Cricetulus griseus: one gene and its partners. The protein of the gene in region 1 binds, or shares a complex with, the protein of each later gene. Links are inferred from orthologs where the notes say so. Each region holds a gene or a part of one and is shown in the gene's direction. Other genes may lie near its edges. The genes, in order: Srrm1, Eftud2, Crnkl1, Rbm48, Dhx16, Snip1 and Cwc15.

What was found.
Region 2: Srrm1 (region 1) and Eftud2 share a complex: the UniProt entries of both Homo sapiens proteins name them as parts of the minor spliceosome. The link is inferred for Cricetulus griseus from reciprocal best matches to the Homo sapiens genes SRRM1 and EFTUD2.
Region 3: Srrm1 (region 1) and Crnkl1 share a complex: the UniProt entries of both Homo sapiens proteins name them as parts of the minor spliceosome. The link is inferred for Cricetulus griseus from reciprocal best matches to the Homo sapiens genes SRRM1 and CRNKL1.
Region 4: Srrm1 (region 1) and Rbm48 share a complex: the UniProt entries of both Homo sapiens proteins name them as parts of the minor spliceosome. The link is inferred for Cricetulus griseus from reciprocal best matches to the Homo sapiens genes SRRM1 and RBM48.
Region 5: Srrm1 (region 1) and Dhx16 share a complex: the UniProt entries of both Homo sapiens proteins name them as parts of the minor spliceosome. The link is inferred for Cricetulus griseus from reciprocal best matches to the Homo sapiens genes SRRM1 and DHX16.
Region 6: Srrm1 (region 1) and Snip1 share a complex: the UniProt entries of both Homo sapiens proteins name them as parts of the minor spliceosome. The link is inferred for Cricetulus griseus from reciprocal best matches to the Homo sapiens genes SRRM1 and SNIP1.
Region 7: Srrm1 (region 1) and Cwc15 share a complex: the UniProt entries of both Homo sapiens proteins name them as parts of the minor spliceosome. The link is inferred for Cricetulus griseus from reciprocal best matches to the Homo sapiens genes SRRM1 and CWC15.

What each region holds. Positions count from the first base shown.
Region 1 is NC_048595.1:17,919,366-17,923,531, forward strand, and holds the start of Srrm1 (serine/arginine repetitive matrix protein 1), read left to right. Parts: upstream 1-1,366; 5' UTR 1,367-1,519; coding exon 1,520-1,540; intron 1,541-4,166. UniProt on the Homo sapiens protein: Part of pre- and post-splicing multiprotein mRNP complexes. As a component of the minor spliceosome, involved in the splicing of U12-type introns in pre-mRNAs. Involved in numerous pre-mRNA processing events.
Region 2 is NC_048600.1:115,243,214-115,246,713, forward strand, and holds part of Eftud2 (116 kDa U5 small nuclear ribonucleoprotein component), read left to right. Parts: intron 1-603; 5' UTR 604-607; coding exon 608-712; intron 713-3,500. UniProt on the Homo sapiens protein: Required for pre-mRNA splicing as component of the spliceosome, including pre-catalytic, catalytic and post-catalytic spliceosomal complexes. Component of the U5 snRNP and the U4/U6-U5 tri-snRNP complex, a building block of the spliceosome.
Region 3 is NC_048599.1:33,095,571-33,098,346, forward strand, and holds the end of Crnkl1 (crooked neck-like protein 1), read left to right. Parts: intron 1-116; coding exon 117-218; intron 219-565; coding exon 566-814; intron 815-1,915; coding exon 1,916-2,092; 3' UTR 2,093-2,276; downstream 2,277-2,776. UniProt on the Homo sapiens protein: Involved in pre-mRNA splicing process. As a component of the minor spliceosome, involved in the splicing of U12-type introns in pre-mRNAs.
Region 4 is NW_023276806.1:221,965,166-221,969,202, reverse strand, and holds the start of Rbm48 (RNA-binding protein 48), read left to right. Parts: upstream 1-1,237; 5' UTR 1,238-1,284; coding exon 1,285-1,395; intron 1,396-2,302; coding exon 2,303-2,493; intron 2,494-4,037. Other genes in the region: Pex1 (peroxisome biogenesis factor 1), read right to left, coding at 827-955. UniProt on the Homo sapiens protein: As a component of the minor spliceosome, involved in the splicing of U12-type introns in pre-mRNAs.
Region 5 is NW_023276806.1:229,796,489-229,798,881, forward strand, and holds the end of Dhx16 (pre-mRNA-splicing factor ATP-dependent RNA helicase DHX16), read left to right. Parts: intron 1-21; coding exon 22-195; intron 196-1,676; coding exon 1,677-1,805; 3' UTR 1,806-1,893; downstream 1,894-2,393. Other genes in the region: C1H6orf136 (uncharacterized protein C6orf136 homolog), read right to left, coding at 2,115-2,228, 2,313-2,382. UniProt on the Homo sapiens protein: Required for pre-mRNA splicing as a component of the spliceosome. Contributes to pre-mRNA splicing after spliceosome formation and prior to the first transesterification reaction.
Region 6 is NC_048595.1:27,987,065-27,991,174, reverse strand, and holds the start of Snip1 (smad nuclear-interacting protein 1), read left to right. Parts: upstream 1-1,310; 5' UTR 1,311-1,382; coding exon 1,383-1,594; intron 1,595-2,513; coding exon 2,514-2,616; intron 2,617-4,110. UniProt on the Homo sapiens protein: Required for pre-mRNA splicing as component of the spliceosome. As a component of the minor spliceosome, involved in the splicing of U12-type introns in pre-mRNAs. Down-regulates NF-kappa-B signaling by competing with RELA for CREBBP/EP300 binding.
Region 7 is NC_048597.1:127,975,011-127,979,121, forward strand, and holds the start of Cwc15 (spliceosome-associated protein CWC15 homolog), read left to right. Parts: upstream 1-1,311; 5' UTR 1,312-1,451; exon of another isoform or gene 1,452-1,583; intron 1,584-2,905; 5' UTR 2,906-2,913; coding exon 2,914-3,044; intron 3,045-3,579; coding exon 3,580-3,692; intron 3,693-4,111. UniProt on the Homo sapiens protein: Involved in pre-mRNA splicing as component of the spliceosome. Component of the PRP19-CDC5L complex that forms an integral part of the spliceosome and is required for activating pre-mRNA splicing.

The sequences.
Region 1 (4,166 bases):
AGAAACAAAAAAGGGGCCAGGTTTAAAAACAAAACAAAACAAAACATCTAAACAAGTATCAGGTGATAAGAGCTGGGGGTAGAAGGATGACTAAAGGGTATCGGGATGTGGAGGGTGTGGGGGGCAGCTCCCTGAGGAACAGTTAAGTGAAATTTGAAGATTGCCAAGCCGCTTTGTGGTTGCCTGTTCTTGTCGGAGGCCTTGGACAGCAGGAACTAACGTAGGAAGTACAGTGAGTCAGGCTGGGGCACAAGAGATCAAAGAGAGGGAGATTTTGACTTTTGGGGGGGAAATATGTAAGGAACCACTGGAGACTTCTCAGCAAGAATGCCTACGTTTCCAACAGTGCCACTCTTCGGAATGGATGCTGGGTGGAAAGGTCGTAGGGATCTATCTGTTACAGGGCTAATGCCGGGGTTGGAATCAGATAAAGGGATCTTGGGCCTCCATCATAGTGGCACGTGGGTTTCCTGATGGCTTAGAGGCGCGAAGTGCAGAAAAGTGGTCTCAGCAGCAAGGTCGGTCCTAAGCAAGAGGAAAGCTATTGGCACCTACAGAGATAGAGGGGACTCGGGGGCGGCCGCTTGACCTCCCCGCTGTTTTGCTCGATTTGCTGGTTTTGATGGCCTGGATAAGCCCAGTCTGTCTGGTCTATGGCCGTCCAAGCGGGAAGGGTAAGGGCGTCGGTGTTAAGTTTGAAGCCTAGGAAAAGTGCCTGGGGACGTGCGGGTGTTCACAGACAGACCCACTGCCAGACTTTTTTTTTTTTTCCCCAAGAGAAAGCAGGGGAGATGAGCGTGTCTGTGAAAGAGGGACTGCTACAAGGTGTCCTATGATAAGGCTTTCCTGGGGAAGGGAGAGAGCGCTTGGTGGACATTCTGGAGGCCCTGCCCCTCGTCCACTTCCTGCCCTTCAGCACGGTTTCAGAAACGTATCCAATGGACACCTCGAGCGCACGCCAGACGCGACGCAGATCCGGCTGGCACGCGGCTTCCACTCGCGCTGACACTGACGCTCCCGGGTCAAAGCCGCCGGCCACCCAAAGCCTCCACACATCTCCCCGACTTTCACAATGACAAGGCAGCGAGCTTCTAACGCCGCACCAGCGTCACCCCTGGGCAACCTTTCTCCACCATGACGTCCCCCAGCCACCCCAGGGCCGAGGCCTTCCCCCGCTACGGGTCCCGGAAGGGACCAACTCGCGTCGCGCGAACAAGGCTGATCACGCGCCACAAAAGGATTCGTAGGGTGGGGCGACTCGAGGACTCGCCCTCCTATTTCCATTGGTTGCGGCCGCCGGGATCTCCTCCCCTCTTTGCAAAAGGCGGAGGCCCGGGAGAGCCTGGCACATGCGTGGCGTTCCCTCGGAAGACTGAGCAGGCGCAGCGGCAGGCCCGCGGGAGGGTGCAGAGGCGCGCGCAGCATCCCGGCGCTGGGCTCCCTTCTGCCGGTCCCGCCCTCCGTCGCGGCGGCGCGGTGCACGCTGGGATAGGGAGCGATCTCCGAGCGAGGCAGCAAGATGGACGCGGGATTCTTCCGCGTAAGTAGGAGCGCGGGGATCTGGAGCGGGGGAGGCGAGAGCCTTGTCCGTGAGACCCGGCAGGGGGCTCAAACCCGGGGCGCGGCGGCCCGTGGAGGGAGGTTTTAGAGACCCCGAGGGGGCTGGGGGCCGGCGTACCGTGCCCTGGGCGCTGCGGCCGACACCGGTGCGCCCCTGCGCAGTCTCCTCCTTCGGGATCGTCCCCCCCCCCCCGACGCGGCGGCGGCCGGGGCCGGAAAATGGCGGCGGGAATGGGCCGGGGCAGAACCTCACCGGCCGCCTGGCGGGGCCTGCAGGCCGGGCGCCGCGCCGGCCTCCGGGGCTTGGGGCCTAGTGCAGCCCCGAGGAGGAAGTCCCTGGGGGGAGGCCGGTGGGAAGCCCGACGCGGCCGCGGGGCACCGGTAGTACGGTTTGGGGGTACGTCCGAGAGAGCTTCTGGAGGAGAGGGGCTTTTAAGCGGACGTCTAAGCGTCCACCCTCCGGGTCTTGAGCCTTTGCGGAGGAGCAGGGTCAGAGTTCGAGAGCGCTCCCGCCCAATTTGATAGCTCTTCGGGAGGGGGGACTCAGATAATCTGTAGTTGGAACATTTGAATCGGAGGCTTTTAGGGCGAAGTGTGTGCGCGAGGGTGGAAGCAGATGACAGCGGGAACCCATTGCTCTTCCCGCTCTCCGCCCGCCCGCCCGCCCGCACCTTTTCCCAGCCGCCGATGTTTGGGGTCCTGTGGTTCTATCGTAGGTCCAGGCAGGGGACGTTTCCTTGTTAGAGTTGGTCCACCCCAGGCTAAGGCAGTTTATTAGGTGGGAGCCACCCACCCGTGAAGGAAATTTGCTGCAGGTCTATATCCAGGTGGATGGGAACGGACACTTGTAGGATTAAAAGTTGAGTAGCAACGATCCCGTTAGGGTTTGCTCATTCTTTTAAACGCAGAGAAAAACCGTATAGACACTGCTTGGTAAAAGTTTAAATGCCTGCTAACTGTAATACGGCTTAATTTTGCATTCCCTGGATCGAGCATGTAATTTGCAGTTTGTGTTAGTTATTAAAGGAAAAATTAGAGGGAAAGGGTTAATTTAATAAGGAAGCCTCTTATGGCTGGGTACGTATGTCTAACATGAGCAAGATTCTGGGTTCCCTCTCCAGCACTCTGAATCTCTTGGCACTGCAAACTACGTATTCACAATATTATTCCAAGTGTTTAACCTAAAGCGCTTAGCCACTTGTTTCTTAGATCATACAAGCACTAAGAGAGTTACATACTTGGAGTGTGGTAATTTCAAGCGAGCTTGTATTTTATAGTGAATACTCAAGTTCTTACGGCACAGAAGTTACACTTAAAAGCAATTTCACTTGTCTATTAGTTCTCTCTCTCTCTCTCTCTCTCTCTCTCTCTCTCTCTCTCTCTCTCTCTCTCTCTCTCTCTCTCTCTCTCGGTGTTTGGCTTTTCTGTTCCTGGAACTCTATAATAGGCCTTGAGTTGTCTCCCCAGTGCTAGGATTAAAGGCATGCCCCACCACTGCTCGGCTTCTCAGTTATTTCTAGTGGGAAGTAGTTTGAATGAATGAAGAATGCAAAATGTTCTGAGGAGTCTATTTTAGACGAAGTTTTCCTTTGAAATTGGACAGAATCCGGAAAAGAATCCAGTTTTTAAAAGTTTACTCTTTACATTTACTTAAACCAAGTAGTCTTGTCCCAGGGTTGGATGGTTTTGTTGTCACTGGGTTGGTTGCTGGAGCAGCTGTTTTGAAACTGGGTTCTCACTAACTGTGACTGGTCTTGAACCCAGCCAGAGCCCTTCCTTGTGCTAGAATTCCAGACATTGCCTCACACCTGGCTTAATGGAGTTGTAGACTGCATTTAAGCCTTGAGCTAAGATTTTAGATCAATTATCTAGTACACTGCCAACCAGAATCTGACTGAAATTTGGTTTAAGGTAGAAATGGTATCCTGAATTTACTGAAGTGCCCTTGTGTTGGGCACTTGATGTGAATCATTTCCCATATATACAACAGCCATGTAAGGTAAATTTCTATTATATTTTTAAGGAGGCTGTTGACAGTATTTTTTTCCCTTTTCAAGACAGATTCACTTGCCTCTACCTTCCAAGCACTGGGATTAAAGGCATGAGCCACCACTGCCCTGCTAGTTAACAGGATCTTGGTATGCAGACCAGGCTGGCTTTGAACTCTTAGAAATCACCAGTTTCCTGAGTCAACCTTGAGATTAAAGTTGTAGGCCACCACTCCTTTTTTTCTTTTTTTTTTTTTTCCTTCTTTTTTTTTGGTTTTTGGTTTTTTGAGACAGGGTTTCTCTGGCTTTGGAAGCTGTCTTGGAACTAGCTCTTGTAGACCAGGCTGGCCTGGAACTCACAAAGATCTGCCTGCCTCTGCCTCCTGAGTGCTGGGATTAAAAGTGTGCACCACCACTGCCCAGCCTAGCCCAAAACATTTTTTTCTTTAAAACTTTTTTGTTTTTGCAGTACTAGGGACCATGCCCAGGGCTTTGTATGTGTTAGCCAAGTGTTAAACCATTCAGCTATAGCCTTTCTGGATCACTTTCTAGGTACTTTAATAGGGATTTTGTTTTGGTTTTTGAGAACAGGTTTCTCTGTGGTTCTGGCTGTCCTGG
Region 2 (3,500 bases), on another chromosome or scaffold:
CCTGCATGCCTTTAAAATTAAAAAGAAAGCCAGGTGGGAATGGAGAGATGGTTCAGTGGTTAAGAGTACTGGCTGCCCTTTCAAAGGACCCAGGTTCGATTCTCCCTATCCACATGTTAGCTTACACCCAGTCTATAATTTCAGTTTCAAGGGAGGTGACATCCTCTCCTGGTTTACGTGGGCTTCATGTCTAGGAATGTGGTATAAAGACATGCATGCAGGCAAAACACCTACACACAGAAAATAAAAAATTTTAAATAAATAAAACAAAGCTAGGCATGGGGCATAAGTTTGTTATCGAAGCACTTTGGAGGCTAAGGCAGTAGGATCAGGAGTTCAAGACCAATGTGGGCTATAGAGTTTGAGGCCAGTTTGGGCAACAAAAGGCCTTGTCCCTAAGTAAATAAAGTGATGAGGGTGGGGTGTGTGAATATTTAAAATGAGTAGGGCAGCAAAGTGGAGAAAGTACTGGACTCTGGGGAGATTGTTCACTAGATGGGTTAGTCCCAAGGCAGCTCCTGAAGGGATGGTGTGTGAGGAGACAGGGTGTGATGCAGGCTTGCAGGACTTACAGATCCTGACTCGACTCTTCTTGAATTTTAGCATCATGGATACTGACTTGTATGATGAATTTGGGAATTATATTGGACCAGAGCTCGATTCTGATGAAGATGATGATGAACTGGGAAGAGAGACAAAAGATCTTGATGAGGTAAAACAAACATGGTGTTTTACTTTTTTTTTCACCCCTTTTTTTGGGGTGGGGGGTCATTGAGGCATATTTCTCTGTGTAACAGCCCTGGCTGTCCCGGAACTCCCTCTATAGACGAGGCTGGTCTTAAACTCATAGAGGCACCTGCCTGTGCCTCCCACAGACCAGCTAAACATTGTTTTCTTTATCCCTCTCCTTTTTAAAACAATTCTCCTGTAATAACCTGCATGTATTTCTAATGTTGCCTTTTTTGTAACATGATTTTTATTGGTATTTTATATTGGCCCCTAGAAGTTCAGAGGGAATATCAAAGCATTTCATTCATGAGGTGGTTTTAGAGTCTGAGCTCTAGTATTTGCTCTGTAATAGCGCTTCTGGTTCCCTGTAGTGTCTCCTGACAATCACAAGCAATCCCGCTTGAGGAACGGGAAGCCAGCTGTGTCAGTGCATCTGCACTTGCAACTCTCTGTGAGCTCCGACTTTAAAAGAGGCACACGAAAAATATAGTGGTGGCACACACCTTTAATCCCAGCACTCAGGAGGCAGAGGCAGGCAGATCTCTGTGAGTTCAAGGCCAGCCTGGTCTCCAGAGTGAGTTCTAGGACAGCCAGAGCTGCACAGAGAAACTGACTTGGAAATAGGGGGAGGGAGCATACAAAAGGAGGGTGTAGATTCCTATTCCAGTTTAAGAGAGGAGTTAAAAGTCCAGAAGAGTTTGAGGCTTGCAAAGGTACTTTATTATAAAGTCAGGAATGTTATGTAATCCCAACACATGGAAATGGAGGCAGTTAATAAGGAGTTCAAAGTCAGCCTCAGTTTCACAATGAGTTTGAGGCAAGCCCAGGCTTCGTTGAGATCCTGTCTCCAAAAAATAGCCCTAAAGAATTAGTAAAAAGTTTTGTGTTTGGTTTTTTGAGACAGGGTTTCTCTGTGTGGCGATGGAGCCTATCCTGGCACTCGCTTTGGAGACCTGGCTGGCCTCGATCTCACAGAGATCCGCCTGCCTCTGCCTCCCAAGTGCTGGGATTAAGGCGTGTGCCACCAACGCCTGGCTTTTTTTTTTTTTTTTTTTGGGGGGGGGTACTGTTTTAGAGTACTGTTTTATGTTTCTTGACAAATACCTGTCAAGCACCGACTAAAGGAGGAAGGACTTACGGCTCATGATTTCAGGACTTCAGTGGCTCATAGTAGAGCACACATGACAGCAGTTGGTTCTTCACATCTCAGGACACTAGGAGGAGAGAGAGGACAGAAACCAGAGCCAGACTGTAAGCCCCAAGGCTCCATCTTCCTAATGTTTCACAAGCCTAAAACAGCACCACCAACTGGGGACTAGGTGTTCAAACACCAGCAAGACAGAGACATTTTGCATCCAAATGGCAACAGGCACCCAAAGTGGCTCTAATGTTTTAGCATTATTCTGAACATGATGAGTAAAACATAGATTTAAAGAAAGTAGGGTCTTTTGGGGAAGAATGATTTCAGTGGGAATGAGAAGGGGATGGGTGAGAAGAACTAACTCCATTATGCAGATGTATAAAACTGTCAAACAGTGAAGACAGATGCAGTGGATTGATTAGTCTATTAACAAGGAGATAAGATATTCTCGGGATAGCAGAAGATGGGAACAAAGTTCTGGTTGCCATCAGCTTCTGTAAAGGACAATGTTTCTCAAGCTAGAAAAAATATTCACTAGAGAAAAGGAAGTTGAAGCTGCTTGCAGGTGTGGGGAAATGAGGGTGGCTTGCATCTTCAGTGTGTTCAAGTCTGCAGGTCCAGGTGAATTGCACCCTGGGGGTGTTAGGAAATGTTGACGAGGTAAGCTGAGAGCCGCTGGGAACATACTTCAGAGGTAGACGAACCCTGGATTCAGTCGCTAGCACTGCCAAGATGAAGGGTGGAGAGGAGAGACCATGGAAGAAAAAAATGAACTAAGCAATTCATCTTAAAATGAATTAGAGCCAGGTGTGATAATACACACCTTTATTCCTAGTAACTGAGAGACGGAGGCAGGTGGATCTCTGTGAGTTCAAGGCCAGCCTGGACTACATACTGAGTTCTAGGACAGCCAGAGCTACACAGAGAGACCCTGTCTCTAAAAACTAAGCAAAAGATGGAGGGAGAATCTTAAGCTTGGTAAGTGTAATATGTATCCATGTAGAAGTAGCGAAGGGATGTTTGTGAGGCCCGGGTTGAGGCAGTGTCTCACAGTGCAATCCCAGCCAGCCTCCAATTCTGGACAGTTTTCGAGGCTCACAAGTTTAAGCTACAGGAAAGTAATTTTAGGGGTTGGATTTTTTTGTTGTTGTTATTTTGTTTTGTTTTTGTTTTTTCGAGACAGGGTTTCTCTGTTTAGCTTAGTAGACCAGGCTGGCCTCGAATTCACAGAGATCTGCCTGCCTCTGCCTCCCATGTGCTGGGATAGAAGGCTTGTGCTTGGCTGCTCTTGCAGAGGACTGAAGTTTGAATCTCAGCACCCACATGACAGCTCACAAACCATCTGTAACTCTAGTTCTAGGGGATCCAGTACCCTTTTACTGGCCTCTGGCACCAGATGTGCACACGGTACACAGACATACATGCAGGCAAAGCACCCAAACACATTTATTTATTCATTTATTTGGTTTTTTTGTTTTGTTTTGTTTTGTTTTTCGAGTCAGGGTTTCTCTGTGTAGTCTTGAAAACCAAAAAAAAAAAAAAAAAAAAAAAAAAATTTTGTCTATTTAGTTTTTGAGGCCTAGTTTCTCTGTGTAGTTTTGGCTGACCTGGAACTCACTGTGTAGTCCAG
Region 3 (2,776 bases), on another chromosome or scaffold:
CACATGAATCTTAATTGTTGAATGAAGTCATAGGGTCTTGGGTGTAGGTCAGGATGGCTGAACTATAGGGGCACATGGCTTTCTTAGTGCTAAGACTGACCTATCATTTTTCTTAGGTACTTTGGAAATCATATATTGATTTTGAGATTGAGCAGGAAGAAACTGAAAGAACACGAAATCTTTACCGACAATTGCTTCAGCGAACACAGCATGTCAAGGTACCCTAACTTTGTCAACAGTCTTTCATTTTATTTTATACAGCAGTTTTGGTGCTTTTAGACTGACTGACTATTTTAAATGACTTTCTTGCTCTTAGGATCTGTTCTTAAAGGACTTAAGAATTTTAAGCTTATACCAGGTCATTGTTTATGCTGCACATGTGCACATGAATCTCTTGGAAATCACATTCAAGGTTCAGTGTATGGTCAGATATGTGCAATGTATTAGTCTGCAATGCTATCAGTGATACATCATCACGTTATCAACTGGAGAAAGTAGCTTTAAAGCCATCATATTACTGTCTTCTGGCCCACATGGGTAATTTGGTTCTGTTAATTTTTTAAAGGTATGGATCAGTTTTGCTCAGTTTGAGTTATCCTCAGGGAAAGAAGGAAGTGTGGCTAAATGCAGACAGATTTATGAAGAGGCAAATAAAACGATGAGAAACTGTGAAGAAAAAGAAGAGAGACTTATGTTGCTGGAATCCTGGCGAGGTTTTGAAGATGAATTTGGAACCGTATCAGACAAGGAAAGAGTAGACAAACTCATGCCAGAAAAGGTCAAGAAGAGAAGAAAGGTCCAGGCCGACGATGGGGTAAGGGCTAAGCACTAGAGCTTGTTCATATCTTGTCAAAGGAGTAGAAATGCATCTGACTTTGAAATGTGTGCTTTGAAGTAGTGGACTGCCTGAATAAGGACCACTTGTAGTCTGGCTACTAGGAACACAGCAGGGATGGAAAATAGAGCAGGAAGGGGTGTGTGTGTGGCAAAGACAGTGAGGGTGGAGTCTGGGAATGTGATATTTGTAGAGTGGGAAGTAGGAAGTCAGCATGGGGGGAGGACTACTGGGGGGGGCACCAATCCTGAGAAGACATTTTAGGGTTGCACAAGTTTGGTGGGAACCACTGAAGATGCCTGTATATGACTAGATTACTGGCAATTCATACAGGTAGACTTGAGTGACATATAGATGATCTATTGGACAGTTTTCCTAAGTCTAGCAACTGAGAGGTGGATGTGTGGGAGATGAGAGGAGAGCGTGCATTTCAGGATAGTATTTAGAAGTAAAATCCATGATCAGTTGAAAGTGAAAAGATGAGAGCTAGGAGTCCAAATAATACACAGCTATATGGGTGGCCTCTGCTACTGAATATTGGGTAAAATTCAAATTTTAAGATTAATATTTAAAGAGTGTTTTGCCTACACATGTATGTGTGTACCATGTGCATGCCTTGCGCCCTTGGAGGTCAGAGGGCAGCATTGGATTCCCTGGAACTGGAATTATAGATGGTTGTGAGCTACCATGTGGGTGCTGGGAACCTAATCTGGGTCCTCTACAAGAGCAACACATGGTCTTAACAGCTGAGCCATCTCTCCAGCCCATAAAACTCAAAATTTTAAAGTCTTAAACATGACTGTGGGGTGGAGTTGAGGTGCTGAGTGTCTTGATTGCCTCAGGAGAAGCTGTGCTTAGAGGTTTAATTTCCTTCACTTGGTCCTTCATTTTCAGTGAGCAGCTGTTTAGTCACTCACTTGGGCCCAGGCTTTCGTTCCTCCTACAGCAGGATTTGCTATTGTTTTGTATAGTAAACATGGGTGAATTTGAAGTCTAGGTTTCCCCTTCACTCTCCCTTCTGAATGAAGCATGTTCCAGAGATGTGCACTCCCCTTTTAACTGGTGGATTTAATTTTGCAGTCCGATGCTGGGTGGGAAGAATACTATGATTACATCTTTCCTGAGGATGCTGCCAACCAGCCTAACCTCAAACTTCTGGCAATGGCCAAGCTTTGGAAGAAACAGCAACAAGAAAAAGAAGCTGCCGAACAGGATCCAGATAAGGACATTGATGAGAGTGAATCCTCATCTTTTTAAATGTTGTAATATTTTTATGGATTAATAGTTTAGAACTTTGACTTCTGAATGTTTTTGTATATTTACCCAGGAAGGAGTTGTTTGGCATTTTTTGGTAGCTACCTTTGAATTATTTTTGAAAACACCCTTGGGTTTAAATGTGGATGAGAAATTGCAAGTAAAGAAAATTTTTTAAGTTTTGTTACTTGAGTCCTAACTTTCCTAGTACTTGCCCATATTGTCTATTACATGAAATTAATGTGCTCAGCACCTATTTTAGGTAGAACTGCAGACATTTGAGGGGAGGGAGTCGAGGCAGGGCTTATCTGTGTAGCCCTGGTGGCTATCCTGGAACTCACTCTGTAGATCAGGCTGGCCTGAACTCTAGAGATCCATCTGCCTCCCAAGTACAGGGATTAAAGGTGTGCACCAAGTGCAGGCAACTTGACTCTTACGTGTTCATGATCCATTCTGCAGGAAAAAGGTCTCTCTGATGGTGTTTGTGCCTCTAAACCTGTCACTGTCTTCTGTCATGTTGATACCACACAACCTGAGTCCAGTCCTAACATTGCTGTGTCTTTGTTTTCTGTTGCCTTAAACATGGGGTAGGATCATGACACCTCATTTTGATCCCATTAGAAAAGGAATGTGCTGATACCAGTCTTGTTCCGACCCCTTTTCATTTTTAGCATTATGTGTATACTT
Region 4 (4,037 bases), on another chromosome or scaffold:
AAAAAAAGAAAGTCTATTTGGTAAGATAAACTAACAATAAAACTGATTCTGATGAAATTGATGTGTTTTGATAGGTGGATTTTAACAGCAAGATAGAAGCAGCTCAAGAGGAAAGAAAGTTGAACTACTTGAAGTCATTTCAAACTCTTGGATACCTCTTTGATGAACCAGTAGTCTGGCAGCATGCCAGATTTTAGAAGATTTCAAATATTCTAATTTTCGATTCCCCCCCCCCCCATGAGAACCTATTTGCCTCTCACTCTTGGTTAAGAAAATCCGCGTGCTGTATTTCCACCTTGGAACACCATAATGACGGCATCCGGACAGTGACAGTTCGCTGAGGTTCCAGTAATCCTGTTACCCCTGTGTAAAGGTGTGAGGTGTGAATAATTCCATCGCCTGCTCCTCCCCTCCCCGCACACCCCTGCGTAGTTCTCTCCTAAGCCGGGAGAGCTGCCGTCCTATTAACCTTCTTGGGCACGAACTGGAAACCTCCGTAATCTACACAGCGGCTGGAAGGAGGCCTCTGTGGCAGGACGACGCTTTCCGAAAGCCCGTGGGTCGGAGACCTCTAGAGCTCTGCAGCCGAGAGCGAGGCTGCTTCGCAAAGAATCCCAGACTTTTCAGTCTGCTTTACCCGAGCTGCGGCGGAGGGCTGGGAGGGAAGCCCGGGGCCGGGGCCGGGGCCGCCCGAGCCGCGCAGGGGGTGGGTGCAGCGCCGCGGGGGGGGGGGGGGCGCTCACACGCTCCGCGCCGTCGGGGACGGACCAGGCCCGGCCCGGGCGGACCCCGGCGGCGCCCGGCCCCCACCCGGACAGCGCGTTACCTGCAGCAGGTGCAGCTGGGCCACGAGGCGCCGCGGCAGGCGGAGGAAGCAGTCCCGAGCGTTCGTGAAGGCCACCGTCACGACCGCCCCGCCCGAGCCCGCAGCCGCCGAGCGATCGCCGCTCCACATCGTCCCGGCCCCGCTCCCCCGAGCCCGCCCGCTTCCCGCGCAGGTCGCGGCGTCCGCCGGAGCCCGGGGCTGGCGCTCGATCGGCCGCTCGATCGGCCCCGCCCCCTCGTCGCCGGCCCCGCCGGCGTCACCCTCCCGTCGCTCCTCCGAGACGCGAGGGGGCGGCACACGGAGGACCGAGTTCGCGCTCCCAGGAAACGATCGTCGATGGCGTCGATTGCCCGGCCAATCCAAGCACGCGCCAGCCACCCTGCCCTCTCATTGGCCACGGAGGAGGAGGAGCGCGTCCGGCGGATGTTGTTGTGGCGCTGGGGGTCGCCGCTGGCAGCATGGCGTCCAGTGACGGGAAGCCGGGGAGCGTTTTCGATCACCACGTGCAGACGGCCGTGTGTGACTCGCGGGCCAGGTACCGGGAGGGCCGACGCCCTCGCGCCGTCAAGGTAGGGCGGCTGCGGTTTCCTCGCGTTCCCAGGCCCCCGGGCGGGGGCGGCCTTGGTGAGGAGGGCCTGACGGGGACGCCGCCACAGAGGGGTCTCTCCCCGCGGGAGGCCCCGGGACCGACCGGAGGTCAGCGCTGCGCTCCTCGCCGCTCCGCGCCGTCGAGCTGACAGGAGCGCTTCCTCAGCGCGCGCACTGGCGCCCGCTGACTGGGGTAGCCAGGCGCCCTCAGGGGGCCTGTGTTAGCCGTTAGCCGGGAGCGACAGTTCTGCGTGTGTGTTTACAGGCGGAATTGACCAGAGTATTTCTTCTTGCTTTCAAAGCTCCTTTTTTTCTTCTTCTTCTTCTTCTTCTTTTCTTCTTCTTTTTTTCTTCTTCTTCTTCTTCTTTTCTTCTTCTTCTTCTTCTTCTTGCTTTCAAAGCTCCTTTTTTTCTTCTTCTTCTTCTTCTTTTCTTCTTCTTTTTTTCTTCTTCTTCTTTTCTTCTTCTTCTTCTTCTTCTTCTTCTTCTTCTTCTTCTTCTTCTTCTTCTTCTTCTTCTTCTTCTTCTTCTTCTTCTTCTTCTTCTTCTTCTTCTTCTTCTTCTTCTTCTTCTTCTTCTTCTTCTTCTTCTTCTTCTTCTTCTTCTTCTTCTTCCTTCTTCTTCTTCTTCTTCTTCTTCTTCTTCTTCTTCTTTCTTTCTTCTTCTTCTTCTTCTTCTTCTTCTTCTTCTTCCTTCTTCTTCCTTCTTCTTCCTTCTTCTTCTTCTTCTTCTTCCTTCTTCTTCTTCCTCCTCCTCCTCCTCCTCCTCCTCCTCCTCCTCCTCCTCCTCCTCCTCCTCCTCCTCCCAGAGCGACAGATTTGCCATAGGCTTGCTTGTCTGCGAGGTACATTTATTGATTGAGGGTTTTTTGTTGTTGTTGTTTTTTAGGTATACACAATCAATTTGGAATCCCAGTACTTATTAATACAGGGAGTCCCTGCAGTGGGAGCCATGAAGGAATTAGTCGAGCGATTTGCTCTATACGGTGCGATTGAACAGTATAACGCTCTAGATGAATACCCAGCAGAAGATTTTACAGAAGTTTATCTCATCAAGTTTGTGAAATTACAAAGTGCAAGGTGTGTACAAATTAAGCAGTAGCTATACCCTGTGTTCCTGTTGCTGTCATTTCGGCCCTGGGGTTTTCCCAGACATATCCATGTCACACAAACACTCATCACCCTAGATCTTCCCGTTTGTTTGTTTGTTTGTTTTTGTTTGTTTTAGAGGGTCGTGACAGGGTCTCTGCATAGCTCTGGCTGCCCTGGAGCTCACTCTGTGGAACCAGGCGGGCCTCAAGCTGAGAGAGCCTGCTTCTGCATCTCCAATGCTGGGATTAAAGGTGTTTATCACCACCAGAGGTCCTGAGTTCAATTCCCAGCAACCACATGGAGGTTCACAACCACCTTGAATGAGATCTGGTTCCCTCTGCTGGCATGCAGGCACATGACTGTATACATAATAAATAAATAAAATCTTTAAAATTTTTTTTAAAAGGCTGACTTTACAAATACAAAGCTGTTTCCATCGTCTCATATCTGTGCTTCACAGTTTTTGAACCAGTAGTACGGTAGATTCAGAATTACATTTGAAGCAAATTTCCAGCCCTATGTCCTCATTACTTGGTAGTGTTTTAAATCCTGATAAGCACATTTTTCTTCTTCTTAAAATCCACACAGCAAAAAGGTCTGCTTCTTGAGGTTCCCTGACTGTGGATGAAATGAAATAATTTATGTACTCCCTATTAGGAGTAAATATTAGCAATGGCAGTTCTTATTGTTAAAGTTCTATGCTAATCACCTTCTTTTTAATACTTACATATGACATAATTCTTGTATTCCAATAAGGTGAAGTCAACAATGCTTTATTTTGGGGGGAAGGAGTGTGAGTGTGTGTGTGTGGGGGGGGCTAGAGGTCAATGTTGATTGCCTTCTTCAGTGTTCCAACTTTTATTTATTTATTTATTTGAGACAAGTTTTAATGTGTAGTCCTGGCTAGCCTAGAACTAGCTAGGTAGACCAGGCTAAACTTAAAACTTAAAATTTAAATTTCCTTCTGACTCTACTAGGTTTAAAGGCATGTGCCACCACACTGCGCTCTGTTTTATTCATTTATTTATTTGAGACAGGATCTCTCACTGAATTTGGAGCTCATCAGCTAGACTGGTTGACTGTCAAGTACCAGTGATCCTTGTACCTCGCCCTTGCCAGCACCAGGATTGTAGGCATACAGCAGTGCCCAGCTTTTATGTGGATGCCAGGGATTCCAACCTAGGCACTGAGCTTATGCAAGTGCTTTTGTGACTGAGCACTCTCCCTAGTTCATGTCAGCCATTTTTTTTTCTTTTTAATTAGTAACCTGATTTAAAGTGTATCTTTGTCTGACTTTTGCTATTGATGTAACTTCATAGTAGAAAACGGCTTCAGATTCCCTGGAGCTGGAGTACAGGGGGTTGTGAGCCACCCAAGGTAGGTGATGGGATTTGAATCTGCTCTTCTGCAAGATCAGCAAGTGCTCTTATCACCAAACCATCTCTCCAGCCCCTCATATTTCTTTTATATGCTACTTAGCCCACCACTAAAGCATTTGACTTCAAAGGGCTGTGTGCCTTTCTCTCCAGTTG
Region 5 (2,393 bases), on another chromosome or scaffold:
ATTTTCTTGCCTGCATCTTAGGCCATCACTTCGGGTTATTTTTACCACACCGCGAGGCTGACTCGGAGTGGCTACCGCACAGTGAAGCAGCAGCAGACAGTGTTTATTCATCCCAACTCCTCTCTCTTTGAACAACAGCCACGCTGGTTGCTTTACCATGAGCTTGTCTTGACCACAAAGGAGTTCATGAGACAGGTAAGGGATTGTTGCTTGCTTAGATGGGTGGAGACTGGGGAGACAGTATGCTGGCATCTTAAACTCAATTTGTATTTCTGGGACTGTCACCGAAACAAAAAGGTCTATTAGTTTAACATAGGGTCACATGTCATCAGACTTAATGTATGCTTGGGATGTAGCTCGTGGTACACATAAATTAAAAAAAAAATAATAAATCAGGGCTGGAGAGATGGCTCAGAGGTTAAGAGCACTGACTGCTCTTCCAGAGGTCCTGAGTTCAATTCCCGGCAACCACATGGTGGCTCACAACCATCTATAATGAGATCTGGTGCCCTCTTCTGGTGTGCAGGCATACATGGGGGCAGAATGTTATATACATGATAAATAAATCTTAAAAAAAAAATTCCTTTCCTGCAACTGTTAGTGCCTTCCGAGATCTGAGAATTGTAACTCATTCAATAGATAATTGAAGCTGTGCCTGATGGCACAGGTCTGTAGTCCCTGGTGCTCAAGGTGAGGCAGGACGACAACACGTTGAAGATCTGCCTAGGTAACAGTGGGGCTGGAGAGTTGGCTCAGTGGTCTAGAGCACTCACTGTTCTTGCAGGGGACCTGGGTTCAGTTCCCAGCACCCACACAGCAAGCAGCTCACAATACACTCCAGATTGGGGGAATCATTGATCACATCACCCTCTTCTAGCCTCTGCAGGCACTGTACTTGAGTGTGCGTGCTCGAGTGTACACACACACACACACACACACAGTAATAAACAGAGCTGGAAAGATGGCTCACTGACTGCTCTTCCAGAAGACCTAAGTGCAATTTCCTGGTACCCTCCTGTTGGCTAACAGCTGCCTCTTAACTCCAGGGGATCTGACACCCTCTTCTGGCCTTCTTTTTTTTTTTTTTTTTTTTTTTTTTTGGTTTTTCGAGACAGGGTTTCTCTGTGGCATTGGAGGCTGTCCTGGAACTAGCTCTTGTAGACCAGGCTGGTCTCCAACTCACAGAGATCCATCTGCCTCTGCCTCCCGAGTGCTGGAATTAAAGGCGTGGGCCACCAACGCCCGGCTTCTTCTGGCCTTCTTGGGCATCAGGTATGCATGTAATATACAAACATATGTGTAGGCAAAGCACCCATACACATAAAACGTTTTATAAATGTGGAAAAAGTAGAGGTCGTGCTGAGACCTCGGTGAGTCTTCTGTAGCGAGCGAGAGCCTCGCTTGGTTCATATCCAGCATCAATAAAGTGTGTGCCACGTGCTGGGGCCACAGAGGCAAACGAAGCAGATGAAGTCTGCCCTGAGGAACAGAACAGGCTCTTCTCGGGGCTCACCTACCTGATGTCTTGAGCAGGTCAGGGTGTGTCTGCCCGGCCAGCATGAAACATAGCCAGGTGCCTTCTTGCCCTCAAAGGGGAAGGGAAGCCTTTCCTAACCACACAGTGAAAACCCTGGCTTGGAAGTGAAGGAGCCCTACTGACCTCTGTCCTCTTACAGGTCCTGGAGATTGAGAGCAGCTGGCTCTTGGAAGTGGCCCCCCACTACTATAAGGCCAAGGAACTAGAAGATCCCCATGCTAAGAAAATGCCCAAAAAAGTAGGCAAGACACGAGAAGAGCTGGGCTAGTGGATGACAAACGGACTGGACCACACAGCTTCCTTTTCCTTCCATACTTTATTTAATATTTAGTAAATAAAATTATTTTTGGAATTAAGTGTGTGGCAACTTTGAGGCCCTGAAAAAGTGACATGAAACTCTACCTCATCGTTGCTTAAACTTTATTATTTACAAATTAAATTACACAGCAGCTTTACACAGCATGAGATGGGAAAGAGAGAGCATGGAGGGAGGTGGCTGGCCCTCGACATTCTTGTCCACCTTCACCTCCTCTTGTGCGTAGCAAAGTCTTCAGTGATGCCTTGACCCAAGTCTGGGTCAGGCCTTGGAACACGTGTGTAAGTTGGGCTCTGGTTCTGACAGCCCCAGGGCCACCAGGGCTCCCACTAGCAGCTTTTTGACAGGCGTTGACGGCGAGTGTGAGGGTGTCAGCTGCAGAGACAGGTTAATGGAGGCTGGGGAGGAACACAGACATGCTCTGCCCTTCACCCTACCCCACCCAGTCCCGACACTCACCTTGTCTAGGTGATGGCGACAAATGAGGCCACTGGAATTCAGGTAGAAGGTGGAATAGGCATCAAAGGTCCTGGAGAAGGG
Region 6 (4,110 bases), about 10 Mb from region 1:
GGCCACGTGCAAGTTTTTTCTACTGAACTAGCTCCACACGCTCCAGGCTTTTTGGTAAACAAGATTGGAGACTTTGCGCTAGATCTAATAAGGGATGTGATGAGATGGGCAAACCACCTTTGCTCAGCCTTAAAACGCAAGTCATCTCCTGACTCCTTAGTTTGTTTAGCAACGATTGGCACTTAGAAGGCAGAGGCTGGTGGATCTGTGTGAGTTCCAGGACAGCCAAGATTACATAGACACTGTCTCAAGAAACAAAAAAGAATTTCCTATTGTTGAGTATTTGTCTGTGTTTTGTAACTATCAACAATCCGCCACGAACAGGTTTGGATTAACTTTCCAATTTTCTTTCTTTTATTTTAAAGATTTATTTATTTATTATGTATACAGTGTTCTGTCTGCATGCATCCCTGCAGGCCAGAAGAGGGCACCAGATCTCATCACAGATGGTTGTGAGCCACCATGTGGTTGCTGGAAATTGAACTCAGGACCCCAGGAAGAGCCATCTCTCCAGCCCAGACCCCAAGATTATTTATTTATTTATTTATTTATTTATTTATTTATTTATTATTTATTTAGGTTTTTCGAGACAGGGTTTCTCTGTGTAGCTTTGGAGCCTATCCTGGCACTGGCTCTGTAGACCAGGTTGGCCTCGAACTCACAGAGATCCGCCTGCCTCTGCCTCCCGAGTGCGCCACCAACGCCTGGCAAGATTTGTCTTTTTTAAGAGCCAGGCGAACACCTTTAATTCCAGGGCTTGGGAGGCAGAGGCAGGCGGATCTCGAGTTCGAGACCAGCCTGGTCTACAGAGTAAATTCTAGGACAGCCAACGTTACATATAGAAACCCTGTCTCGAGAAGCAAAAAAAAAAAAAAAAGGATTTTTTTCTTTTGGTGATTTGTGAGGTCTTAGGGACTGCCCCCAGCCCTTTGCACACGCGAGGCAAACGCTCACTTTACTGTTAAGATACATTCTCCAGGCTTTCCGCCCTTTTAACTTAATTTCTATTTGGCGGTGCTGCGGATGGAATCCAGGGCTTCGGGCTCGGCTAGGCAATCTCTACCTGACCGACTCACTAAATTGCCCAGGCTGGCCTCGAATTTACAGCGATTCTTCTGCCTCCGCCTCCCGAGGTCTGGCCTTGACTTTCCAGTCCTCCAGCCTCACTTCCCCAGGAGCCGGGATCCCGGGGTCACAAGCCCGGGCGTCCCCAGCGTAGGAACCTTAGCATCTGCGGCCACGCCCACCTAGGGGACCCCCCGCCGTGAGGGCTTCTGGGATAGCGCGCTGCCCGGAAGCGGAAGTACAAAGGTCGGGCCGTCACTTCCTTCGGCTCGAGTGGCTCAACGGACCGTGCAAGTGGCTCTCGGCCGGGCCGCAGGATGAAGGCCGGGAAGAGCGAGCGGGAGCGAAGCGGCCGGCGGCGACACCGGGCCGACGACGCACTGGCGACCGTGGTGGTGAAGCAGGAGCGTCTGAGCCCCGAACCTATCGCGCACCGGCGGCCCGACGCCCCAGCCGCTAGCCCGTCCCCGCCCGCCGCCGAGCCGGGCCGCGCTAGCCACCGTGGGAGTCGAGCCCGGGGAGTGAGCCGGTGAGAGGGCCGCGGCCGGGATGGCGCGGGGCCCGGGCGGTGCGAGCGACTCGGGGTGTAGAGCACCTGTTGAGTTGAAATGAGATTCCCCCCGCCTCCCACGGGGGACGGTGGGAATGTCTTTCCACTTGCCTGCCGCCAAAGTGTTGTTTCACGTTGGGTCCTGGCGACTTCTTCGCAGCACTCATTCGCCGATGCCCCCCGTACGGCATCGATTTACTGAGTGCACAGTGTGGGCTAACGATCAATTGAGGTACTGGGCCACAGGGTGAAGAAGAGAGATGGTTTGGCCCCGGCGAAATTGGGCGTGCTCCAACCCTAAAGAAGGAAAATAACAAATAGATTCAATTAGTGCTGAGGATATAGTCAAACAGTAACGTGGCCGGGCCGTGGTGGCGCACGCCTTTAACCCCGGCACTAGCGCTGGGTCAGGACAGAGAAAAATGTATGCGAAGAACCTGAAGTGGAATTGGGCTTGTTTTAAAAGTTGAAGCAAAACAGGCAGTGTGTCTGGAATTGAGCGATGAAGGAGCAGCATTGTAGGAATGAGGTGGGGTGGAGGAAAGGGTGGGTCCCTGGGACTTGCCAAGGGATTGGATGTGGTTGTTGGAGAAGGGAGTGTGTTAGGAAAAACAAAAAACAAAACAAAACCAAAAACCAGGCAAGATTGACTCCCTGGATAGTGATGCCAATCAGTAGGATGACAGACTGGGAAAAGAGCTTTGGGGTTCAAGTATTAGGGTATCTAAGTGAGCAGGCAGTTGTGTATGTGAGCCTGGGAGAAGTGGCTAGGGAAGTGAGGACCTGACTCCATTAGTGATTTCACAAATGTGTTATGTTTAGTAGCCTGATACTTGAAGCTAATTTATTTGGGGGCAGGGACATTGAGGTAAAATCCTGTGTACCATGCTCTGATAAGGTCCCCAGCCAAAAAGAAAAACAAGTCCTCAGGGAGAAGAAGCAAGTCTCCTCGGACTAAGAGAAGCCGGAGCCCCCACTACTCCACCGTCAAAGTGAAGCAGGTGAGTGAGTGGGCAGGAGCCTTTGCTAGGACCCACGTTCAAATCCAGAGCTGTTGCTGGACCTAAAGGTGGCCTGCACCGGCGTGTCTCCGTCTTTCCTTGTCCTGGCTGTGGGCTTTTCTAAAGACTAGATATATGTTTGTGTTGTTTTATGTGAAACTTCAAATTTGGAGGAAGTTATTGATTTAATTCTGATAACTCTTTGCCAGAAATAGTGCAGAGAGATGTACCTTTCCTTGTTTCTCCCAATGGCAACTTGTCACACAACCGTGGGCAGTATCACAGTCAGGATACAGACATCTCACTGCCAGTGGGAGGCCTCCAGCTGTTCTCTAGAGCCCTGTTCCTTTCCACCTTTATCTTTATCTTTATTTTTGTCTATCATTCCGCCAATCCCATGCTGTCTCAAGTACCACACTAAGTGATAAGTCTTGAAACCTGAGTGCCCCAATCCCTTTTACTTTAGTATTTTCAAAATTGTCTTAGCTGTTCTAGTTCCTTTGTCTGCATCTCTGTAAATGTTAGAACAGTCTTGAATGTGTGTGATTAAAAATAAAGTTTTTTTTTGGTGCATCTCCCCCCCCCCCATGTGTATGTGTTTTGCCTGCCTGCATGTATGTGTGTGCACTGTGTATATGTCTGATACCCACAGATCCCAGAAGAGGGTAGCAGATTCCCTAGAACTTGAGTTAAGGATCGCTGTCAGATACCACATGGGTGCTGAGTTATCTTCCAGATTTTCTAGTGTCTTGCTCCAAGCCAGTGTGGCGGTGTGTACATGTATCCCTACACTGAGGCAGGGGGATCACAAGTTCAAGGCTGGTTTATAAGTTTAGTGAGAGACACTGTCTCAAAAAGTAAAAAGGGAGGCCGGGCGTTGGTGGCGCACGCCTTTAATCCCAGCACTCGGGAGGCAGAGGCAGGCGGATCTCTGTGAGTTCGAGGCCAGCTTGGTCTCTAGAGCGAGTGCCAGGACAGGCTCCAAAGCTACACAGAGAAACCCTGTCTCGAAAAGGCTGGGGCTAAAGTTTAGAAGTAGAGCGCTTGCCTAGCCTGTTTCCTGAATTCTAGTCCCATTACCATTCCATATGTATTTATAGTAAATGGACTATTATTATTACTCAGCCTTAAAATGAAGAAAATTCTGATGAGTTACAAGATGTCTGAACCATGATGGCTTGCTTACTAAACGGGGGGGGGGGGGGCGGGGGGGGCGGAGCGCAGCAGGCGCGGCGGCGACAGGACACAAAAATTGCATGATCCCACATCTTTGTAGTTGAGACAGTTGACCTCCTGTCAGTTAGGTCCAGATTGGCTTGAAACTTGCTTAGTAGGTATTATAGGCAGGCCTAGAACTCTTTGGTTTTTTTGAGACAGGCTTTCTCTGTGTAGCTCTAACTGTCCTGGATCTTGTTCTGTAGACCAGGCTGGCCTTGAACTCAAAAGAGATTCACCTGCCTCTGCCTCCCAAGTGCTGGGATTAAAGCCAAGAGC
Region 7 (4,111 bases), on another chromosome or scaffold:
GGATGGTCAGTCAGGATACATAGAACTTGCAGTTCAAAGCCAGCCTGGGCTACATAGCAAGACCTTGTCTCAAAACTCAAAATAAACAGGGAACCCTGCCTTGCTCTGAGAAACAGAGACGTCCTGTTGAGTGCATCTAGAGCATGGTGTACCCATGACTGACTGAAGCCAGGAAGGTGGGCATGAGACAGACTATAAAGAATCCTCAGAATCAAGTTAAGACAAGTGGCTGTTTTATCCTAAGTACCCTAACTCCGTCATTCTGTGCAAAACCTCAGGAAAGTCCATTTGGAAGCAATTTACAAATACAAGAGGAAAATGACAGCAGCCTGAATGAATGTGGTGACAGGGAAATGAACTTCAGGGTAATTCTCACAATACTGGACAAGATTGGCAAGTGAACGGGATGTGAAGAGTGACAGAGGTGGACCTTGGGCTTGAGCCGCTAATCTGATGGTGTTCTTAGGTTGTGTGAGGTTGAGGGAGGTATATAGCTTCCATGAGAAAAAGAAATGTTTTACCTTCCACTTGGGGGGGAGAGGGGGGACGGGGAAGGAGGAAGAGGGGGGGAAGAATCTGTTCTAATTTTCCTTCTTCATTTAAAAAGTTCCAAAGGAAGGCACCGAAATGTTCGATTTTAGGCGGTCCTTCCACTTGGGACAAACTGGAGAACGTACTGAGCATCTATCGTCTCCCAAGATCTCAAGGATAGGGCACCACCAAGACAACGATGAGGAAGCCATCTTAATTGCAGCTCATGCTCCTCCTGGCAGTTAAGCCCACTGTTCTCTAAACGCTGGCTGTCGTTAACGCTTACGGCCTCTCCCCTCACACTACGCGGCTTAATGCATATTATCTCTATGTATCTATATCTTAACAAGCAATGCGACTACGACCCCTGCCTCCGAGGATAGTGGTTTCGCAGGAATGGTACCTTTGGAAAGCTCGTGGCTGCCCCCGTACTTATGTGCGCCTTCTTCACATCCACTTAAGTGACAACTCTAGTCCCTAGGCTGCGGGGTCTACTGAGGAGCGGGAGCCGTTGGGCCAGCGGGCGCGCTCTCCTCAGATCTCACGCTTGCCCGACGCGGGGCCGACTCCCCGGCGCCTTCGGTCCTCGCAGCACCGCAGCGGAGGAGTCTGGGAGGGGGTCGGGGAAGGAAAAGACGCAAGACAGATTAAGTAATTGGCTCTCAAAAAAACACAGATATTTAGGTTCGACTCCCAAGCACCGGTTTCAAACACCCGCCCCCTGGGCCGCCCTGGCTCCGCCCCTCGACGACGTCACGCCAACTTCCTCCAGGGTCTCTGCGGATTGGTCGGCGCACCAGCCTCTGAGAAACGGTTACAAAAAACCCTCAGGTTTGCTTCCGGGTGTGGAGCTTAAGCTTCCGACGCGGCCGTTGGAAGTGCCAAGATTTTTGCTTCCGGGTCTTAACTGAGCCCCCCAGGTGAGGAGCTAGACGCCAAGCGGTTTGTTTCCGGTCTTGGGCTGGCTGCCCCGGCGCGGAGCTTTCTGGGAGCTGGGAGCTGCGATGGTTCGTGGGTGAGCCTCCCAAGGCGCTGCGTGGGACCCCGCCGGAGTGAGCGAGCGGCAGGGGTGCATGGGGCTTTGTGGTCCCTGCGAGGGTGGCGCCGGGGGGCCGGGATCGCTGCCGGGAGGACGGCCGGGGCCCCAGGCCCGGCATGGCGGTCGGGAGCTTCGGCCGAGCCCCGGGCGGGCACCGGCGCGGCGCCGGCCGCTGACACCGAGGAGCAGCAGGGCGGGATGGGGACGAAGCTCCTTCCCTCCGGGTCTGTCTGAGCGCGCTGCTCACGCTAACGGAGGCCTAGCAGCCCAGTCGGTCCGCCGGAATTCTGATGTGACAGCTCCAAGTTGAAAGTGGCACAAGGTTCTCTTGTTGCTGTAGCGACAGTCTCGTGTAGCCCCAGGCTAGCTTCGAACTCGTGCTTCTCCCGCTTTCACCTTCCGAGCGCCTGGGGTGGTCCCAGAAGTACACCCCAGTTCGGGATGGGCTCTTGATATTTCTCGGGGTGGGGTTTCGGTTTTCTGAGCACTGCTAAAGTTGCATCGTACCAAAGGTTTTCTACGTGTTAGGGTAACTGTTGGAGAAGAGAATTGCATCAACTGGGTTTTGGGTAGTGTGGCCCGCGTGAATGTCATTGGGTTTTAAACAAACTCACTCTGAGACACTAAAGTTTGAGAGTGATCCGTGACTTTAGAAGAAACTTGGTGTTTTGTTTGCGTATTTTTTTTTTCCTTTCGGTTTATTTACTGTTGTGTGAGGTTTCTCATAGAAATGCAGATCTTGGCTAGGCGTGGTGGTCCACACCTTTAATTCCAACTTTCCAGAGGCAGAGTTGGGTAGATCCCTGGAGGGTTCCAGGTCAGCCAGAGCTACATATTAAGACCCTATCAAAACAAAACAAACAAACAAATTCAAGAGAACCTAGTGCTAGTAAGATAAGAATTTTTAAAACAGTTATTTTTTTTAAAAGCCACATTACACTATTGTATGAGATCTGCCATCATTTGTCAGAATTGTCATAATAACACTACAGAAATATCAGCATTCCAGAGATGACAAAAACAAGCTAAGAGACTTGCCCAAGTCTACTTAGCTAGAACAAAAGCACAAACTCAGATCTTCAAATAAGTTTTGGGTTTTTTGTTGTTGTTGTTGCTTATTTGTTTGTTTTTTTTTAATTAAGAGCTGCCTGGCAGGACATATCTCATGTGCAACTTGAGTTTCATAATTCTGAACTTGTAGAAATTTGTGTTAAAACAAACTACTTAAGCAATTTGTGGGAGAGTTTTGGGAATTAGTCATAAGGATAGATATTTATGAATGATTTCTAAGATGAGAGTTCTACCGAATATAACTTAATCTCACTTTTGTCAAAGAATAAAAGATGACAACAGCAGCCAGGCCAACTTTTGAACCTGCAAGAGGTGGACGAGGAAAAGGAGAAGGGGATTTGAGCCAGCTTTCAAAGCAGTATTCAAGCAGAGACCTCCCCTCTCATACAAAGATAAAATACAGGTAATAAGGCCTTGGTTTGTCTTGTTCACAGAATGGGACCAAACCTGCATGACTTATGACTGTGTCTAGATTGTTGTATTTGTTACCTATCTTCAAAGAAATGGAATTCAAAGGGGTTTACAATAAATTATACTCTGTGGTTTTTAAGTGTTACTGGACGTTCTTTCAGTAGACATTCCTATCAACCAGAAATTCCTGTGTGTAGATGAAGCACTCATTCATGATAAGTACCTCAGAGAAGACTGAACTGTAGTGAATATGGAAGCGTTACTGTGACAGCCCTTGAGTTGATTAATAGTTTAAAAAAACAAAGACATTTCATTCAGACATTTCATGTTGGAGGAGAGTGTGTGCTTTAGTTTGTTCTAATAGTAATACTGAAAACATCGCAGGTGTCCCTTATTATCGTGTCCTCTTTCATTTTATTGGTCAGAGATAGTTGTATCCTAAATTGTCTTAAATTACTGTAGCCTTATAGGTTCTTTTCCTTGACAAGTGAGAGTAACATTTTTAACCCAGTTTCTTTCTTCTTAAGACAAACTACACAGGATGCCCCTGAAGAGGTTCGTAACCGTGACTTTAGGAGAGAGTTGGAAGAGAGAGAGAGAGCTGCTGCAAGGGAAAAAAATAGGGACCGTCCAACCCGAGGTACCTACACTGTTCTTAGTGTCTGTCTCAAAGTTATTTGGTGGAGATTGTTTGTGTGTTGGTCATTGGAGATGATGTTTTTGTGTACTATACCTCTTTGATAAATGATTAGAGATAATAATGACGTTCATTCCAGTTCCATCTTCTCATGCTTTGGTATTAGAAGAAATGGTGTTTCAAAGCCATCATTTCAGTACCTGTCGTTAGACTTTGGCTTTACAGCAGCTGGAACCCAGGCCTTCTATCCAGAGCTGCCCCATTTTATTCATTCCTCCATGTAGTTGAGATGCGTCAGTAACCCTTCTTGTGTTTCTAGTATGTATGAACATTGGCTAAGTTTCCTGAGATGCTGCCATCCTCATAACTCATTAATTCATTTAATATTTACTACCATATATTTATCAAAGGCTTATTTGCCA